Rhinolophus ferrumequinum: one gene and its partner. The protein of the gene in region 1 interacts with the protein of each later gene in a pairwise test. Links are inferred from orthologs where the notes say so. Each region holds a gene or a part of one and is shown on either strand. Other genes may lie near its edges.

Region 1 (6,915 bases):
CTATTATGAGGAATGTGTACCTAATGGGACAGAAATCATGTACCTTGGTCAGCACTGGGGAGGCCATGAGAGTCTCTTTCCCACAAAGCCAATGAACAAGTCTCAGGTTCGAGACCCGGTGTTGGGGGTGAAGAGCTCTGTTGCTTCCCAGACCGTCTTCCTATAAGACTATCTGGAAGGTATTCTCTCTAAAAACAAGAAGGTCAGGAAGACCAACCCTGCCAGCACTCTATGGGAAGACAATTTAGCAAGCACAGTGGTGTGGCCGGCGTTGGGAGACGGCACAGCCACCTGTCCCCATGTGGCCAGACTGCCAGGCGCCCCGTAGAAAGCACTGCCCACTCGTGTGTCTGAAATGGTCTCTCGAGCCTCCAGCCCCCAAGCAGGCATCAGCGTGCAGGGTGGCAGCTGCCAGCAAGGCCGGGTCAGCCTCCATTAGCCTGGTCCATTCGCCACAGCCGGCTGACCACACATTCTGTATGTCCCGAGGTGAACAAGTTGGGAAACACTGCCACAGAGGACTGTCTGCTGACCTCTGACCTTAGAAGGACGAGGACAAAGGAGCAGACAGCTTGCGAAATGGGTACAAGGCACCTCGTAGGCCACCCAGGGACCAAACAGCAATGCAGAGGGGCTGGCAGCTCTCTGCCTAGGAAAACAATCGCCCAACAGCACCACAGGAAGAGCTGCAGTGAGGGCAGAGATTTCTTCCAGGAAAGCCTGGGTTTAGGACAGTGTGGAAATGTTAAAAAAAAGCCTCCACAGCCAGCCCCCTGGAAGGGCATTCCTGCCTTAACACGAAGGAGGCTGTAACGTGGTCACACTAGCCATCATCGCAGGCCAGGCTGAGCCCTTTACAGGTGTCACCTCATCAGCTGGGTAGCTTGTGCCGCCTTTTACAGATAAGGAAACTCAGATGAGGCCCCAGGAGGTTAAGTCATTTGCCCAGGGGGCATTCAAGCATTTCAGAGCTGGATATGAGTCCAGGGCTGGGCTGGTAACCTGCACACTGGACCACTGCCCACAAGGTTTGTGCAGGAGAAGGGGCAGGTCATCGGTTCAGTGGCACGCACATTACAGAAGTATCAGCAAGGACTCCTGGGAGGATGCAGGTGAACAGTCTCATCCAAGAAAATGTCAAATGTGAATCAGAGCAGAGTTGCCCACATCACAGTGCCTGAGGAGGGGACGGGCCGCTCGATTCAGCCGTAGTTCTTCCGCTTCTAGAGGCAGAAAGCTTTCCATTCTCACTCCCGAGGTTCAAACCCTGGATCTTCTTCCTAACTCCCAGCAAGCTCTCAGGTCTCAGTTTCCTAATCTGTAAAATGGGGATGATAACTGCCTGCCTTAGGGTTGTTATGAGCCATAAATGAGATCATCAGCGTAAAGTACTTAGCACAGTGCCTGAGACGAATGAGTGAATGAGCGCTCTGAGTCTTAGCTGCTGACTCAAAGCACCCCTTGTTGCCAAGTTTTCTGCTAAAGACACCCACATACGTATGGATTAGGGAGAAGCATGTGAGCCCATCCAAGTGGTGGGGCAGTGGGACTCCAGGCCTGGCCAGCCAGCTCTCTGCCTGCAGAGGCTCTGGCTTCCCAGGGTGATGGGTGGCACCCCCTCCTTCCCAGGCCTGCTCAGGAGCCCACAAACCCAATTACTGGCTTATGAAAGTCACTCGATTTCCCCAATTCCCCAAGCCTGTCGGCCACCCAGTGTGTAACATGGGTTGTGGGGGTCACTGTTTGTGTCTCCTGCAAAGGGCTGTGGGGGGGCTCCCACTCAGCCCCCACGGTAGTCAGAGGGGCCTTTCAAAAGGGTAAATGAGTAAAATTGTCCAAAAACTGTCCGCTGCTCCAAGAATTCAGTTCCACGTCCTGAGAAGCCGGCCACATGCTCCATGATCTAGCCCTTGTCTACCCCTCTCAGCTCACCTCTCCCCACTCGTACCCCCTCCCACCGCACGCTGACAAGTGTCTGCTCACCCAGCGCTGGAGCTCACACAGCAGGCCGGTATCCCCCTGGTTTCCCACGCCTGGGACACACTCTCCACGCCTCACGCCTTCACACCTTTGCCCCTTTCTTGAACTTCAGCTCAAATATCACCTCCTCTGAGAGGCCTTCCCTGACCACTGCAGGGGCAGTTGCCCTCCCCCTCCCCCGGGCACTACCATATCACTTTTACATAATCTGAACTTCTCTTAGAAACAGGCCTGTTTACCTGCTGCCTCCCCCTGGAGCACTGGGCGAGGGCCTACACCCAACAGGTGCTCAGTCAGTGTCTGCGGAATGAACAAATGAAACGCCTGCTGCACAGTCAGTCCTCCACGGAGGTTTTTATTGTCACACATAATATCCCCATCACAAGGTCTCTCACTCCCCAGCCTCACTCAGGGGCTGCTGGGAACTCCCATGGAGGTCTCCTTCCGCTAAAAGGCCCTGGAACTGTCAGTGAGGGGCCCCTCACTGTTTGCCGCCCACAGTTCTTTCACCTGGCGTCTCTGGCACCCCTCTCTGCCAAGTGCACCCCCTTAGGCAGAGCGCACGGGCACCTTTAAGGTGCAGGTGGCACTGGGCAGCCTGCTCCCCAGGTGTACCTTGCCCCGCCTCCTCCAGGTATTAACTGACTTTTCCCCGGCAATGTTTGTTTTAAGGATTAAAGATAGTGGAGGAGCCTGTAATTCCCAGAATCATTTGTTCCTTTGCTGGCAGCCAGCACCACATTTGTTATTCTATTTTCCCAAGCCCCTGACAATACCGCTCCAGACACGTCGGTTTGATGGTATCATCCAACGGAAAAGTCTGATGCTTCCCCTACCCGGCAGGCAGTCTCACTGGCTTCACCGAGGGAGCCCTGGGCCCTGTGTTCTCAGCACCCCTTTCCCTCCTCTCTCTTCTCTCGCATCAGCCTTGAGGCCCATGATCATTTTCTCCTTTTTTTCTGTTTCTTTGTTTGTTTGTTTGAAGTACTACCGTGACCCCACCACCATCAGCTTTATCTGGCACAGTCAAGAAACGGGCTACCTCATGTGAGTAAATTTTGAAAATAATGGCTTTCAAGCACTTAAACTTGATACATTTTAAAAACAGTTTTATTAAGTTATAACTGACACACGATAAACTGCGTGTATTTAAAGTGTACAACTTGATCTGTTTTGACGTTTGCACACATCCGTGAAACCATCACCACAATCTAGATAATGAACATATCCATCACTCCCAGAAGATTCCTCCTGCGCCCCCCCCTGCCGCCATCCCCCTTCCCAGCAACCACCGGTCTGCCTTCTAAACACATATTTAATGCAGAGCTGTCTCACCGACTTCCCCACTTGGAAACAGAGTGTGATCAATGGGATTGTTCCTTGATTCAGCATGATGGTTAACGTTACTGAAAGCCATGTCCTCAGATGTCGTGGAGAGACATAGGACTGTTTGCCCTGAACACTAAATGGCTCCATTGTTGCATTGCCATGCCTGGCTGTTTGGGGTTGGGGAGTTTCTCGCTCGCTGCCAGCTGTCTCGGTGCACAGTTCCCAGCAGACGACTCCTGTCGCCTGGCACGCTGCACACCGCCCACCTCCTGTGCCATTCCCATTCCTCACTCTGGATCAGTGGTTCTCAGCTAGGGACAGTTTTGCCCCCCAGGGGACATTTGGCAATGCCTGGTGACAATTTTGTTTGTGCTAATGGGTGTGGGGGTGCTGACACCTTGCGTTTTGAGACCAGGATGTTGCTAAACATCCTACAATGCACAGGACACTTCCCACGAAAAAGAATGATCCAGCCCAAGATGTCAGTGTGCCGAAGTTGAGAAACCCGTTCCGGAAAACAGAACTGGTTGGAAGAGTCAACAAGAAGTCACGATAATTAGCTGTTTCACTTTTCTGAATCGAGGAAGGAAGGGCAGAGGCCTCCTGGAGCTGCAAGGCCACATAGTAGGACAGATTCAGGAAGACCCTGGCGGTCTCAGGTACCTCCTTCCGGCTCTACCTGAGCGGGCTTCCTGGGGACAAAGGCGAAGGCCCTCGCCTGAGGCACCAGGGCCCAGCACTCAGCACGTGCTCGATGAATGTCTGTCACACTAGACTGCTCACCTGTTAGGTGCCCAGTTCTGGGTAGCACTGGCTGGGCTTTGAAGGCGACGCAGAAGACACAGAGGCAGAAGAAGGGAGCCATTAAACCGACCAGTGAATCTGGGATTCGGCAGAGCCAGTTACTAAAAGGTAAGTGCAGACCCACCCCTGTAACTGGGAGGACGAGGGCTGGCCATGCCGGGCTCCTGTCCCCACCGGACCAGGTGCATCGCCACCAAATCCCTCCTAGCTCCTCCCCCCGCCCACAGACACCCTGTTGGCCTGTCATACAAAGGAAGTTTTCCCAAAGTGGTTTAGCCAGAACTGGAAGGGTCCTGCCTTGGGAAGGGATAGGAGGGGCTGAGGTGCCCTAGCGGTGGTCAGGACGGACTCCAGGGATGCTGGAGCTAAATGGTGAAGTGTGGCCATGCTTTATTCAATTTTGCATGACTTCGAGGTTCAATTATTTTATTATAAAAGAGATTATAGACATTCTTGAAAATGTGGGTAAGCAAGAAGAAAACAAAAAAGCTTGCAAATCCCACCCTTTCAGAGAAAACACCACTTATATTTTGTTGTGTGCCCTCCTTTGCATGTATGCATGTGGTGTAGACATTTTGATGAAAACCAGGTGTGGGTGCTGCTGCCGAAAGCTTTGTTTGAGGAGCCTGAAAGCGGGGAAGAGGTTTTGAGAGAAAGGGACCCCCCAAGAGCATTCCAGTGGGACACGGGGAGTTCCTGGAGTGAGGTTGACCTGGTAGATTTAACTATAGGCCTAGGGTTGCTCTTGGGAGCCTCCCAGGTCAGCCCCAAGTCCAAGGATAAAGAGGCATGGCTGGCTGGCCCCTTCCTCCCCGACCCCTGCTGCGAAGGTGGGAGGCCCTTCATAGCCCCTTCCTCCCTCAGGCCTTACCCAGCGGCCTGCTCCTGCCCACCAGTCGTCCTCCCTCCCTCGTCACCCCACGTGGTGTCCCCATCCTGTGGACTGCTGTTAGATCTAATAAACTGTGATCCAGAGGCCCTTGGGCTCCTAAGTCAGGGGACCTGGGCTCCAGGTGCTTTCGCTCCCTCGGCCTTAAAGCCTCAGCTGAACCCTTGGGGGTGATAAAGAGAATAATACAGGACTTGTTCCAGTGGCTAGCAGTCACCAGACGAGGCAAGCTTGGGACCCTCCAGAGGGCTGTTCCCTCCAGAGGGGTCTCAAGGAGAATGGCTTCCAAATTCTTTTTAGCAACAGAGTTGTAATAAGATACAATCACACGTGAAACCCTAAAATAAGAGAGGGACAAAGGTGGGAAGCTCAGGGCGAAGCAAGGCCCGGTGCTCACTTGCTCAGTGCTCTCCTCTCCCCTGTGATGCACGTCTGAGCAACACAGTTCAAGGATTCTGCCTCTGCCAAAGGCAGCCTTGCTGGGCCAGCCTGGCGGGGATGAACTGGGAACTCCCATGCCTCTGCTGCGGGTGGCATCCATCTGAGACAGAGCTCTTCCTTCCTCCTCTTCCTCCTCAGACCCACTGCTCCCCTGCAGCCCAGCCTCCAGGATGGGTGGGGCACCTAGAGGCAGCCAGTATTGCTTTCTGTCCGGGTTGACCTTTCTTCTAGGCCAGAGGACAAGTGGGAAGGGCACTGAAGACTCCGAGACTAGGTGGGGCCAGTCCTGTCCCACGTTTCCCTCAATGGGATTCTCTTGCTCACAGACTAAGGAGAAACCGTGACTCACTTCCTGCTTCAATCAGACTATAGAAGTATTTTTTCCCAAGAGTGGCTGGCACTGTGGTGGGGGCTACCCCAGGGTGGCCCCTACGATCTTAGCTCCTTATCGGGGCAAGTTCCCTCTCCCAGAGGGAGCCAACCGGACTTATGTCCCAGCCCACCTTTCAGGACCCCACATTCTTCTGAAGTTTCCGGTTTTTGCAGAATTTGTAAGGGTGCCCAAATGGTATCTTAGCCCATTAGTTGAATATTATCTCCATTTTACAGAGGGGTAAGTTGAGGCTCAGAGTTAAGTAATATGTCTAAGGTGGCATAATGGAAAAGAGTGCTACAGGGATATGAAACCAGGTTTGTTGGTTGACTTGTCACATAGTGAGTCCTTAGGAATATTACTACAACTCTCTGGCCTTGGTTTTGTGCTGTGTAAAATGTAGACAGTGATACATAAAAGGTGCCTAAAGGAAAATGTATTTATACCCTCATGGGGGTTGTGGTGAGGAAGAAATGAGTTACATGGAAAGAGCTCAGAACAGCACCTGGCTCCTAGTAAGCACTGGGCGGTGTTCGTTTTTATCATTGTCCCCAAACCTGTGTTAAGGAGGCCACAGGATAATACTGTGCTGCCACGTTATCTCACAGTGAACAGGAAGGGATGGGCAGAGACTGCTCTGTGACCTTGGAATAACCTAGCCTGGGGAGCTCTTGGCCACATTTCCCCTCTTTTCTTTCTCAGCTCAAGCAAGGGCCGCCTCGCCAAGTAGCACAGACGTTTTCTAGGGCAGGAACCCAGGGAGGGAGGGGAGTCGGCTGGTATATTGCAAGTACTGGGATCCAGACTCTGCCAAAGCCCCACACCTCTTCCAGGCTCTGAGGCCTGCTGGTTTGGTACCTTGGGCAAATTATTTAAGCTTTGTGCGCCTCAGTTTGCTTATCTGTAAAATGGGATTAATAATGTCAGCTTGAAAGGATTATGTGGATTAAATAATGTACATAAGGAGATAATGTAAAGTGACTGGCCTGGTGCCTGGCAGGCGGTTGGTGTTCAAAAAAAAAAAAAAGTTAAAAGGAGGTGGGCTTGTTCTGCTTATCCACCTGTATATATAGATGCAAATAAGACCGTGGCTTTAACA
Region 2 (7,530 bases), on another chromosome or scaffold:
ACTGTGTTACAGAGTTCCTATAGTATCTGTTCAAATCAAACTGGAAAAGTGAAAGCAAGAAACCACCAAACAGTACAAACTTATTCCTCGTACATAATCTTTCCTTGATAATCTCCCAGTGTTCTGACATAATCCTCTGTTCCATGACCTTGAACATCACCATTGCCTACTGTGGGCAACATACCATAGTGTGTTTTGTCTTCTGATGCGACTCCATCCTCCTGTCCTCTTTCCAAATTAAGAGTCCTTGTGGAATAAAATAGTCAAAATATTTGTGAAATATTAAAGAATATTAGGAGACTATTCTCTAGTTCAAGGACATTATTTTATTTCATATGTTTTTAAAAATAACAACTACCTCAAATCATACGGATTTATAAGATGCTTACGCTTTCTGAGAACTTTCCTTATATATTCTAGTGTATGTGTAGTGAAGGACCAGAGCATTTTTTGCCTTCTTGGATATTTTTGAAATAAAAGATTTCAGACATAAAATATAACCGCTTATCCCTAAAGTACATTTTTACTTACCACCTACAGGGGGTAAAACATCTTATTGTTAAAGGAAATATTATTTGCCAAAACCCATGAGCCAAATACCACATACCTCCTGCTTTGTTGCCTGATTCTCTAATTGATTATATATTTTATATAAATGTATATTTTTATGTCAGGTACACCACATCACATAAGCACATCAGCAGACAGTATGTTCGCTCTGCTAGTTCCAAAAAGAGATTCTGTTATTACAATATTTAAGGAAAGCAGCCAATATGAGCAACAGGTCCTATAAGAACCTTCATGTAAAGCTTCTTAAGCTTCACTATAAAGAGATGAGTATAATAAAGTTAGAAAGAAAGAAAACTTTTGAAGAAACAGGTGGAGCCCTTTGTGATCGGAAGTCAGGAAACAAACAATGGAATAAAAATTACTTCTGAATCACAGGAGAAAATGTTGCTGGAAACCCCAGAAATCCTGAATAAAGATCTCTCTTTGATCATAATGTTGGTCTCTCAACCTAACATAACATAATCAAACATTTAATTATGCACTTCCGGGAAGGAGAGACAAGTGTCTAAAAGCCACAATGAGCTTTTCCAAAAGCACAACTGATGTGACATCCTCTGATACCCATCTTAGTCCCACAACTTATTTATATTTAGTAAAACCTCCTGGTATTATCTCACCCAGTTCCTTTTTACTTTCACCACATTTCTTATCTCAATAATTTTCTATCGTGTCTTTTCTGAAAAGACCTCTAACTTTATCAGAAGAGCAATCACTGATCAAGAAAGTTTACCTTGATATTTCTGTTTTTAAAAAGCTTCACTAGGATCACTTATCTTTAAAGAAAGATAAACAATCTAAAAGAAAACCAGTAAGCTTTTTTCAGAAAACAAAAATAAAACGATCTTTTTAATTATAACTCTAATTGTTACTTTCTTATATCCTAGCATTATCTTAGATGCTGGAATATCAAACTTGTATACCAAAAATCACCTTAGTATTCATGGATCGTCCATTATACACTAAATTCATGAATATAAAATAGCTCTTAAAATTTTAAATATTTTAGATTGCGGCGGATGAAATTCCCCCAAAAGTAACTGGATCCCAACGTAGCAAACTCTCACTTCTTTACACCTTTCTCACAAAGTGTTTCTTTTGTAAATAAGTTGACATTTAAATCAAACATTCCAATAGATACAGTCACTTCTCCGTGATCTGAAAATTGGACTCTTACCAAAGAGAATTCATTGATTAAACGTGTGGGGAGCCGACAGGTAACGAACGAGGAGGCGTGGGTAATGGCACGTTGGCTTTCTAGTACTTACACGCAGCACGACTCTAAACTAAGGTCCCTGAGCCAGTTCCAAGTCTTTTCTCTTTAAGCTCTAAAGCTCTGTAATAAAACATACCGATTTCAAAACTGTTTAGCAAGCAAACCTCTTGTGGAACTACTGCCTAACAGGGGTTGCCAGGAAGACGCGGATCTCCCTAACTATATATTGGAGCTGCCTCTCACTCCATACACCCTGCAACAAATACTCCTCGAGATAAGCACGTAAGAAACCGGGGGGAGAGGGGGAGCGATAGTGAGTCTCCCCAAGTTTGCTCTTTCACTCATACCACTGGCCAACAGAACTTGGGCGTCTATCTGCCTCAATTGGTCACTTCACTTCCTGGAGCTTAAGAAGCTCGCTCGGCGCCTGGAGAACTGCGACACTCACCGTGGGCGCAGGACCCTCTGGCGTCTGAAGTCCCAGCGTCTTAAGTTCCACCCGCAGCAGGAACACAATGGCATCCCTCGCCCAGGCGGGTGGGTGCGTGAGACCTGGATCCCACTCGACGGTGGCGGAGAGCCTTACTCAGGTCTGCGCGCATCAGCGTTAAACCCAAGACAAAGGCTGCCCTCGGTGGCCCGTGGCGCGCGCCCTCCCTGGGCAGTCGGTGCCGGTCCTCCGCAAGCCGACACCGGTAGCTGGTGAGCCGGTAAAGTGGCTCTCATCGGTTCCGCGCTTTTCGAGGGGTGCGGTTCGGTGACTGGTACCAAGCTGGTGGACACAGCGCGCGGCGCACCGGGATCTACCCGAAACGAGTTGCGCGCAGGGCGGGCGCAGGCTGCCAATAGAGGAAACGACCCCTGGTCGCCGGCTTCAATAGCCTCCACTCACCAGAGCGGCGCCCACAAGGAGTCGGGTCCTAGCACCCACCACGAACCTCAGCCAGGAGTCTCAGCTCCTCTGCAGACCCACCGGGCAAAGGCACCTGCTGCCCGTGCTCCGGGTCTGGTGCTTTGCCCAGCCCCGCTGGCGGGTCAAGGACGCAGGCGCCCGGGTAGGCGAGCGGAGGAGGGTGCGGACACCGGGTGAAGCTAATTGAAGGATCTTCGCAATCACTCACCGGCTGAGGGCGAAGTAGCTCAGGCGGCCAACCGGCTGCGCACAACGAGCATCCCCGGGCTCAGGCATCCTCCCACCCTTTGTCAATAGCGGGCGGAGCGCTCCTCCCCAGCTTGCGGACGTGCAGCTGGGTGGCGGGCAGCCCGGCTCTGGCTCTGCTCCCCAGCCCTCTCCCCTCCTCTCCTCCCCCTCCCATTCTCCGTCCCCCTCTCGCAGCCGGCACTCACTCAGCTCCCATGATGTCATCCGGTGGAAATCTGCCATGCTCAAAGACTGGAATAATCCAGCGCACACGCGGGGAACGCAACGCGGGCGGAGGCGGCAGCAGAGGCTTTAGGCGTACCCAGAACCTGCCGGGCCAGGATAACTGCAGTCAAGGACAGCACAGAGGATGGGTCTGCGGAAAGGAGGCTCCGAAGGTGTGCGTAGGCAGGGTGGGCGTGGTGGGGATAGAGCCCCAGGACGAAAAGTGAGGTCGCTGCTGCAAAGATTTCTAACTCGGTGTTTAGACTGATTACAGATGCTAAGGGTCAGGAGAAAGTTTTCTTGGCTTCTCGGCAGCTCCTGCGCCCCAGCACGGTGATAGACACCTATGCCGCAGCCCGCGGAATAACTAGAACCCCTGGGACTCCAGAGCCTTAGCCTCAGTGAGAAAGTTTAGGATGTCTAGCCGATGGAGCAGCTAAAGGGATGAAGAAAAAAGAGTGCACTGTGTATGGACGAAATAATCTGAAGCAAAGCATTGTTTTGTTTGGGGGTGGGAGGCGACGCGACGACCTTTCAAACCATTAATACCGTACCGCAAGACCGCTGCTCCCAAGCAAGACGCCGAGAGCAGAAATTCACCCGTGGCCCTAGTGTTTTTCCTTCTTTCCTACCCACCAAATACTATTGGACACTCTGGAGGTGACTTCCTGTGGCCTCCCCCAAGGATTGTTGTCGCTGATAAAACAATTCAAATCACAAGGAGTTCATTAAGAGCCATAGAAGATGTGTTGACAATTCTTTTATGCTTAATATTCTTTATAATAGCAATAGGTGTTTTATTAGAGGAATAAACAAACAGCCTCAGTACTTTGGAAGATTCCCCTGTAGTAATGGATGGACACAGACACACACACACACACACACACACACACACACACACACACACACACACACACACCAGATCTGAGATCCAGCCCTACATCAATCTACAGCGACTTCATGTTACAAACTCTCACAGTTCAGAGAACAGATCCCAACAACTGACAGGTTATTCTCTTTTCAATCAAGGAGTCTCTTGAAATCCCCAGGGTGACCTACCACTAAGACCCCTGAGGGAAACAGAGGAGAGCACCAACAACAGGTGCTGATTAGGCAGGCTTACCTGACAGTGCCTGGGTAGGAACACATTGACTCTGCCAGAGGGTTCATCCACAGTCATCCTTTAGAAGTATAGAGAACAGGAATGGCATTTATTGCAAATATGGGTACAATTAGAAACATACTGATCTTTGTAAACACAAAGAGGACTCAATATAATGACAACCACTTGAAGGCTAGCCACTGTATTAAATAAGTTTGTTAATGCATTATGAAACTGTGAAATCCACTGGGATTTATCTTAGGAAAAAGTAATAAGTGTGAAAAAAAATTATTTTTTTACAGGATCAGAAATTATTGTTAAAATAAATTATCAAAAAGGCCATGGTGCCCATAGTTTGGAAGTAATAGGGGAAATCTAAAAGTGTTAACTTGCATTTATTTACTCTCAAATTAAAATATTTTCGGTATCAATATATATCATTATTAATATATATTACAAAGATATATTTAGCACCCTTGTTAACATCCTTACCTTTTTTAAAGATTAAAAAAATATGTTAAGGATAGTCACTTATCCTTTCCTCCAAATCAAAGTACAAAAGAACATATAAAATGCATGAACAACTTTTACAGATGAGTATTTATAAATATCAAAATAATGAAGATTTTAAAAAGCAGGGCAACTAGGAAGTAAACTGGATGAAGAAAAAAACAACTAAGAGAGGTAAGAATTTGGTAATGTAAGCAATGACCGTTTTTGAGAATAGACAAACGATCTAATTGCTTGAAAAAAAAAGTAATTACAACTGCTAATGATGCTGTTCCAAGTATATCAGAAGGTCAAGTTGTAAACCTTCCTTACTAGATTGCTTCTCTGATGCCCCATCTATCTTCATTGCCTCTGTTTATCTTGCTGTGCTTCAGCATTCTCCGGACTAATGCACAAGGATGGAGTCGAGAAGGTCAAAGGCAGTCAGCAGATCTGGGGAACTTAGACAAATAACCAAAAAGATCAGAAAATGGATCCCTCCACTTTTTTTTTTTTTAAATCACTCTTCTAAAGAGTTAAAGCAAACTCTACATCACGTTGTATACCTTAAACTTACACAGTGCTATATGTCCATTATATCTCAACAAACCTAGAAAAACTTTAAAAAAACAAACCTGTGTCTCGTACTTTAAGGATAACAACACGCATTCACACAAGATCATTTATCTAAGTCCAATAGAAAAGTCTTCAGTTATATGATTCTGGCATTCTTTGAGAAGGAAAAGTACTGTGCAGGGGTTTTCACTGTGGACCTTCATCTTCGCAAAGTGAATTTACTCATCTCTACAAGAACTTCTTTCCCAGTGTGTGTTAAACTACCAAGAGCCTTGCCTGTGTGTCACTGACATTTCCCATTTCTAATGCATGCTTTTTCTTTATTTGCAATTTTTAAGTCATACTCTGAATATTTTAGGATATTTTTATCCTAAAAATGGATGGCTATAAATAACTAAAATAAAACATCCAATTGCTACATTGAAAACGTATCATCATTCTTAGAAAAAAAATTTACATTTGAACTCTTACACACCTAACTTATATTCTAATCTTGTTTAAATGGGGAACATATTAAGCCGTGGAGTTGAAGATGTAGAGTAGAAATATTAACTCTGCCTCAATTATTGATGCTCTGCTACACTGTTTTCATACTGAGAAGTGATTCCCTTCACAGAAACAGTGACTGGGTGGGGGAAAAATAGACACATTTTAGTATTTTCCCTTGTGGGTTTCACAAAATATAAAACAAATTTATATTCTGGTTTCATCTGAAACTCATTAATAGCTAGTGACTTTTTAAAAACAAGTTTTTCTAGATATGAATTTGTTAACTGTTGATAAATAACAACTAATAAGCAAAACTAATATCATTAAGTTCTTATTATATGACAAGTACTGTGCTAAGTGCTTACATGCATTATTAGTCCATTTGATCTTTAAATTTACCCCCACAACATAAATGTCTTAGTAACCTTTCTTGAAGATGAGGAATTCGATATCTAGATTGGTTACGAAAATCGTTCAAGCAACTAAACTAGAAACAAGTCAAATTTAAGATTCTGTTCTATTAGCCTAAATACATACTAACAATAGCCCTAGTAATAGCATACTAGCACCTTTTACATAAGTCTTGCTCTGAAACAATGAAAGCATGGTGATTATATATGTTCTATTTGGTGTGGTGGACAACATGCTTCTGCCATCAGTTACCACATCCATCATGAACTTTATTTCCATTATCCCTGTTAGTGAAATGTTTCCAAAGTTATTTACAAAGAAAAAGAATCTCAGGATTCCACATCAATTTGAGTGTCTAATCTATCGTTAAACGCTTTTCAGATGTAAAGCAAGGTGAAGTGATTTTGTACTTAAAGACAGATCACAGAAAAATGAAATAAAAAGAAAAGGAACCGTAAACCATTAATTTAAATAAAGACAAAGACCACCTCAGCAACTACCTTCTCTGTACAATTAATCCATTAGTGGGTCTGGGAAGGCAAACTACATCACCCATTCAAATGAAGGTTTTCTTCCCTACAGTGAATATTAACACAGAAAATAAATCATTTTATATATTGTATCTCAAAGGCCCCATATGTTTTTATCATAGAAAGTAATAGTCCCTGGGCACAGATGTATAACCAAGCTTCTTTAAATAGAAAAAATTTAGTATAGATTTTTTTCAAAATCCTTTTTTATCTTACCTTTTTGATAATTGGCTGAAGTTCAGCAACTCTGCTAACAAGCATTAGTTAAATGGATTTGTGGAAAGGTTACAAGGTACACATAAGAGTTTCACTCTTTCAAGGTGTGCTGCTAACCTAGCTCTTTGTATTAATTTCTCATTTATGAAAAACAATGTAAACAAGTAATGGGAATCTTTATATCCGTAAGATGTGTTAGCAGGCATAATGTATTGCACACGTGTGATCTATTTTGATTTTGGCTGCAGCATGTTATGCTGTCATTAAACATCCTTATTTTATAGGACAGGTGGCCCATCCCATGTCCTTCTGCTCATTTTCCAGTTGCTCTGTCTCTAGTGCTAGTCTGTGGCACTAACATGATGGAGAACTGGTCATAGAGGAGCTGCTCTTGTTTAAAGGTAGAGGAACGGATGAGGAAAAGTTCTCTTGAAATGGACACACTTCTTGTGGAAAGGAAAAGGAAACTCTATGTATAGTAATAGGAGGCTATCAAAAAATTTATGTATATAATTTCTTCTCAAATAAAGGAATTTGAAGAGTAGAGATGCTGGCTTACCTAAGCATA

What was found. The genes of interacting proteins can lie anywhere in the genome.
Region 2: the proteins of FURIN (region 1) and MARCHF1 interact in a protein complementation assay, tested with the Homo sapiens proteins (2 studies listed by BioGRID). The link is inferred for Rhinolophus ferrumequinum from reciprocal best matches to the Homo sapiens genes FURIN and MARCHF1.

The regions. Positions count from the first base shown.
Region 1 is NC_046311.1:3,746,837-3,753,751, forward strand, and holds the start of FURIN (furin), read left to right. Parts: upstream 1-3,848; 5' UTR 3,849-4,221; intron 4,222-6,835; exon of another isoform or gene 6,836-6,915. UniProt on the Homo sapiens protein: Ubiquitous endoprotease within constitutive secretory pathways capable of cleavage at the RX(K/R)R consensus motif. Mediates processing of TGFB1, an essential step in TGF-beta-1 activation.
Region 2 is NC_046301.1:52,394,410-52,401,939, reverse strand, and holds the start of MARCHF1 (E3 ubiquitin-protein ligase MARCHF1), read right to left. Parts: upstream 3,038-7,530; 5' UTR 2,232-3,037; intron 1-2,231. UniProt on the Homo sapiens protein: E3 ubiquitin-protein ligase that mediates ubiquitination of TFRC, CD86, FAS and MHC class II proteins, such as HLA-DR alpha and beta, and promotes their subsequent endocytosis and sorting to lysosomes via multivesicular bodies.